Saccharomyces cerevisiae S288C: one gene and its partner. Changing the gene in region 1 together with any one later gene gives a genetic interaction. Each region holds a gene or a part of one and is shown in the gene's direction. Other genes may lie near its edges. The genes, in order: RRF1 and RTR2.

Region 1 (3,227 bases):
TGGGGAAAGGATATATGACAATAATGAAAGAGCGCTTTTCCCGCAGACTAACCCTGCGAACCATCAACAAGTACTGGCAAACGTCACACAAGCCACGGAAAAAGATGTCATGAATGCTGTAAAAGCCGCCAAGGATGCCAAAAAGGATTGGTACAATCTACCGTTTTATGACAGATCTGCAATTTTTTTGAAAGCCGCTGACTTAATTTCCACCAAGTATCGTTATGACATGTTAGCTGCTACAATGCTGGGCCAGGGAAAAAATGTGTATCAGGCAGAAATCGACTGTATCACGGAATTATCTGACTTTTTTAGATACTATGTCAAGTATGCATCAGACTTGTATGCTCAACAACCCGTAGAGTCAGCGGATGGTACTTGGAATAAAGCTGAATACAGACCTTTAGAGGGATTTGTGTATGCTGTTTCACCATTCAACTTTACTGCTATTGCTGCAAACTTGATTGGGGCTCCAGCTTTGATGGGTAATACAGTTGTCTGGAAACCTTCACAAACCGCTGCCCTTTCAAATTACTTATTGATGACTGTTTTGGAAGAAGCGGGATTGCCAAAGGGTGTCATAAATTTCATTCCAGGTGATCCAGTTCAAGTTACTGACCAGGTATTAGCTGATAAAGATTTTGGTGCCTTGCATTTTACCGGTTCTACAAATGTCTTTAAGAGTTTGTATGGCAAAATACAAAGTGGCGTTGTTGAAGGGAAGTACAGAGATTACCCCCGTATTATTGGTGAGACAGGTGGTAAAAATTTCCATCTAGTTCACCCAAGTGCAAATATATCACATGCAGTACTCTCTACTATTAGAGGCACTTTCGAGTTCCAAGGCCAAAAGTGCTCTGCCGCTTCCAGGTTATATCTTCCAGAGTCAAAAAGTGAAGAATTCTTATCCGATATGTTTGGCATATTGCAGTCACAGAATGTTGTCCCAATGAACACATCCGCAAGTCCAATTTCTGGTGGGAATTTGCGGGGATTTATGGGTCCTGTCATCCATGAACAAAGTTTCGACAAATTAGTTAAAGTAATTGAAGATGCAAAGAAAGACCCCGAGTTGGAAATTCTTTACGGTGGACAATACGATAAAAGCCAAGGTTGGTTTGTCGGACCCACAGTCATAAAAGCCAAGAGACCAGATCATCCATATATGTCAACAGAATTTTTTGGCCCTATATTAACTGTTTACGAGTATCCAGATACTGAATTTAATGAAATCTGTGATATTATCGATAATACGAGTCAATACGCCTTAACTGGTGCTATTTTTGCCAAAGATCGTAAAGCAATTGAATACGCAGATGAGAAGTTGAAGTTTAGCGCAGGAAATTTCTACATAAATGATAAGTGTACTGGTGCCGTTGTTTCTCAGCAATGGTTTGGTGGCGCAAGAATGAGTGGTACCGACGATAAGGCTGGTGGTCCAAACATTTTAAGCAGATTTGTCAGTATTAGAAACACAAAGGAGAACTTCTACGAGTTGACTGATTTCAAATATCCATCGAATTATGAATAAAAAAATTTTTGTGGAATAGAACCGCGAATGCAGTCACTTCATCCATCAACTCATGTAAATGTTAGATTATCGAAAAAAGGGTTTTGATTACTTCATTAGGTTTTTTTAGTTTTACAATTTTAATTTATCTAGGTAAATAGTTTAAAAATATTCATTGAACCAACCGTCCAAATTCCCGTTCTATATTCTGTCATGACTTACTTATTCACGTTGCTATTTATTCGCCGCATATTCATTCTGTTTTTGGCATAAGGACCCGTCCGGAAACAGAACATCAATTTATTAAATACGTCCATTCGTAAGCTTAAAGATGGAAACTTTGGCGAGCAGTCCCTGACAAGAAAAATAACAGCAAGAAATAATGATTTTAACCACAGCTAGATTAAATTGTAGACCAGTCACCGTTCCTCGTCTATTTAATCGTTCTTTTAGTCAATCTTTCATAATTTTGAAGAAAAAAAGTTCTACCCCTACTGAGAAAGTCGAAGAAGATGAAATTGACGTGAATGAACTGCTGAAAAAGGCAGAAACTCAATTCAAAAAAACTTTAGAAATTCAAAAACAGAAAATGAATGAGATAAAACAGGGAAATTTTAATCCTAAGGTATTCAATAGTTTAGTGTTCAAAAATAACAGAAAGTTTACAGATATTGCTACCACATCCTTGAAAGGTAAAAATGCACTTTTAATAACAGTTTTCGACCCCAAAGATGTGAAAACTGTGATCAGTGGGGTGCTTGCTGCGAACCTGAATTTAACTCCTGAAAGGGTCCCAAATAACGATTTGCAATTGAAAGTTTCGTTACCACCACCAACTACAGAATCCCGGTTAAAAGTAGCTAAAGACTTAAAGAGAGTATTTGAAGAATATAAGCAGTCATCGCTAAAAGACTCATTAGGAACTATCAGAGGCAGTATTCTAAAGGAATTCAAAAGTTTCAAAAAGGATGATGCCGTTCGAAAAGCTGAGAGGGATTTGGAAAAACTGCATAAGGATTACGTGAACAAGCTTCATGACCAATTCCAGAAAGTTGAAAAAAGCATTGTAAAATGAGGAATTTCGTAACGTGTATAGAATCAAAAAATCATAAATCTTGTACATAAAAAGTTCATTTTATATAATAATAAATACCAAATTATTGATAAGTTTGTTGCTTCCTCTAAAGTAAACTAGCTGGCTTCTTTAGCTAAAGAGAACAGTGACTTTATTCTTTGCCATGTGGAATTTGTATAAGCTCCTACGATGAAACTCTTTACAAAATTCCAAGCCTTAGCATTGTTACGAATAGGGTAGTCTAATGGTTTTGGAATTTGAGTGGAGACAAAAGGCAAAGTATCAAAACAGACACTTTTGGCATTGCACAAACCCAAAAGACCTTCTTCACCACCAAATTTACCGTAACCTGAACCATTGATACCACCAAATGGTAATTGACAAACATAGAATGTAGCAAAATCATTAATGGCTACATTACCAGTTTGTAGGCTATTTGCGACGTAATTGCATTCCTTGATATCCGCACCAAACACAGAACCACCTAGACCAAATGGCGCAGAGTTGGCTAGTTGTACACAATGGTCAGTATTCTTAGCTTTCATCATGACTAAAATTGGGCCAAACACTTCGTTTTGTGCTATTTTCATTTCTGGAGTGACATCCACCAAAAGAGTTGGTTGGAAATAATGACCTTGTGGA
Region 2 (3,108 bases), on another chromosome or scaffold:
TATAGCTGATTTTATGGGGTACGATGTCGTTCATTAATTTGGAGATATCTTTGTCGCCCTGTAAAATAGAACATATCTCCTCAGTTTTTTCATCCACGTCAAACGGGTCCAGTTGCAAATCCATTTTATTGTCTAAATAAACCGATTTATCTTTAGATAATGTCCTTAGTTCGGCTTCTGTTCTATTTCCACCCACAGCAATTTCATTTTCTTTCGAATTCTCATCCTTGTCATTAGAGTCATTTTCTGCAGCATTATCGAAGCTACTGAAGCCAGACCAAAAATTCTTAGTTTTCATTTTGCTCCAATATGACTGGGCTAGACTTTCCACGCTGTGAATATTCTCGTCTAGTTTCTTCAAATACTTTTGTGCAGTCTCTGTAGTTTCATTGCTAATTGGCAAGTTAATTTCAATTCCGTCATCTTTCTCGATTACTAACTTTTTGAATGCACTTGTAGTCTTTTCATATCGTTTATTGACTTCCTCTTCTAACTTTTGGAAGGCCTCATTTGTTTTGTCATCTCGGCTCTGAAGTTCGTTATTTTCAGTGTTTTCTGTTGATCCAGTTTCCTTGGTATGAGAGTTGCTTATTTTATCATCTTCGATACAAGCTACTTGTTCTTCATAAAAGAATTCCATTTTATCCTAAAACGTCGAAGCAATGGAGCTCACTAGCTGTACCCTTATGTTGTGTTCTTTTTTTGTTGCATGACTTCTGCTAAGTGCTTTTTATCATTAATCACCGCTATTTGATGTAAGGCCAAAAAAAATGCGAAAGAAAAAAAGAGACTCTGTTAAGAAGGAAAGGAGTACCAATATAAACTATGGGTTCACAATTGCTATGAATACCCAGTTCACACATCTAGAATAAGCTATATGTATCAAAATGACACTAGTGACTCCGTTACAATTTTCGACTGTACAGCCAAATTTATATAGAGGATCTTACCCACGAGAAATCAATCTCCCATTCCTGAGAACCCTTAGATTGAAATACATATTATCTTTGACACCAGAACCTTTGAGCACTGATCCTCTAATGGTAAAGTTTTGTGAAGAAAATAACATTAAGACAATTCATATAAAATGTCAAAGTGAAAGAAAGGCAGACAAGACCAAACCCAAGATTAAAAGGAAAAAGAAAACAGTTCCTATTGAATACGATGTTGTAGTACGATGCGTTAAATTTCTGATTGATAAAGGGCATTACCCCTGTTATATGCACTGTACGAATGGTGAATTGATAATATCTCTCGTAGTAGCATGTATGAGAAAGTTTTCATATTGGAGTACGGTATCCATACTAAATGAGTTTTTGGTGTATAATTCCAGCATCAATATTCATGAAAGAAATTTCATTGAAAACTTTAACTCTGAAATCGAAGTTGACGATCTGGATATAAAGGATAAAGTTCCCTGGATTACCGTGCGATATATTGCAAGGACAGCCACAGAATCAAAAGATGAGTTGCGTGTTGATGATGCTAATGCGTCTGAAAAAGTTGCAAGAGTAAGTAGCGTGTCAAATTCTTTGCCAAAACTAAAATTTCATAGTATGTAAAATTCAGGGATAAATTCATATAATATTTTGTAAAGACAGAAGCTTCAGGGTTAAGTCTTAGCCGGGCCCTCCAGCATTGATAATCATTTTTTTCAATATCAAATGCCATTGAAAAGTCCAACGAAAATTACATCGACTTTACAAAAGAGACGAGCCGGTCACATTCTAGTATTGGCGAAGATTGGAAGCCATTTATCAACAGCAAGGAGGCATTCTGGAAAAATTGCAGCATATTTAAGAAAAGTGATAGGTTTATTTTTATACTAGAAGGACAGGAGCAACGCAAGCCATAATGCAGATAATAACCACTACGTTCATTCAAAAAGTAATTTTAGGATCACACCAATTACATGAGCAATTATCTATAGTGGAAGCCCGAATGATTGAATCTGCCATAGTTTCAATGCTCACAGAATCATTTTGCGAAAATGAGCAGACATTAAAATACTTAGCACGGCTACTTTCACCGATGTCTTATATGGATGTTATTAATGCAAGAAGGGGAAAGAAAATATGTGGGTACCCGCTATGCTATAAGAGTGCGGCAGAAAATTCATCTGATGGCTTCTTTATCCACTCAATGTATTGTAATAATTATCACAGTAAATGTTCGTTGTATTTAATGAGACAGTTATCACAAACGCCTCTGCATGAAAGGCGAGGCGTGCATTTAACTAGTTACATTAATCTAGAGTTTGATGATATGTACTCGGTAAGCCTTTTAGAAGAATTAGTTGGAAGTGAGGTACCTATAGATACCGTCAAATCGCTGATAACGAGTTTCAAGGATCTTGAGTTTGATGATACCTACAAGAATGAGCCTTTACCATTGGATGTGTACTTTGGACAGTTGACTACTGATGAGGAAACCTGTATAGAATAGGAAGTATAATTAAATCGTCTTCATCAGGATCCTTATCGCGGTCATACGAGTGACTATTTACATAGAAATGGAAGTAACCAGTAAATTTTCTATTAAACTTTCTGATTCACGCAACTTTTGCACTTAAAAACCGTATTTCGCCAAAACACTTGGCAAGTCCCTCCCTTCTATAAAGAGTGTCACATATGGTAATGTTTCTTTGCTCATTTTTCTGAATAGTGTCAACCGTTTGGCGTACATTTCTTTTGACTTTTTATCAAAATATGCTAGTTGGCCACCGTTCTTTAAAAGCTTTTCCTTATATTTGTTAAAGTACTCCACTCTTTGAAAACTTTTGGAATGTAATTCGAACATTATTTCTCTCACGGGATCTACCCATTCTTTAACTTTCTGATATTGACTCGAAGGATTACATTTAGTAGACTTTGGGATATTTGCAGCGTATTCCAAGTATTTCGGTAAGTTTACTTTAATAATCTTTTTCGACTCTAGATATTCCTCCCAAATGGCCTCATGTAATGCCCAAGCAGCATTAATTTCGCAAAAATTGAGATTATCGATATTTTTCTGAGAATCCTTCCTTTCTTTTCGTATCAATATTCCCAGCTTTTTCGATTGTTGTCTGCCCTTGTTAATTGGTGACCGAACAAACCATATTTGATT

Evidence for each region.
Region 2: mutations in RRF1 (region 1) and RTR2 together harm fitness more than expected from each alone (negative genetic interaction), as found in Saccharomyces cerevisiae (2 studies listed by BioGRID).

What each region holds. Positions count from the first base shown.
Region 1 is NC_001140.6:182,174-185,400, forward strand, and holds RRF1 (Rrf1p), read left to right. Parts: upstream 1-1,892; coding exon 1,893-2,585; downstream 2,586-3,227. Other genes in the region: PUT2 (1-pyrroline-5-carboxylate dehydrogenase), read left to right, coding at 1-1,531; MSC7 (meiotic recombination directing protein), read right to left, coding at 2,702-3,227. UniProt on the Saccharomyces cerevisiae protein: Necessary for protein synthesis in mitochondria. Functions as a ribosome recycling factor in mitochondria.
Region 2 is NC_001136.10:581,245-584,352, reverse strand, and holds RTR2 (putative protein-serine/threonine phosphatase), read left to right. Parts: upstream 1-1,854; coding exon 1,855-2,445; downstream 2,446-3,108. Other genes in the region: DOS2 (Dos2p), read right to left, coding at 1-640; OCA6 (protein-tyrosine-phosphatase), read left to right, coding at 888-1,562; RRG1 (Rrg1p), read right to left, coding at 2,569-3,108. UniProt on the Saccharomyces cerevisiae protein: Probable RNA polymerase II subunit B1 C-terminal domain (CTD) phosphatase that regulates RNA polymerase II transcription. May have functional redundancy with RTR1.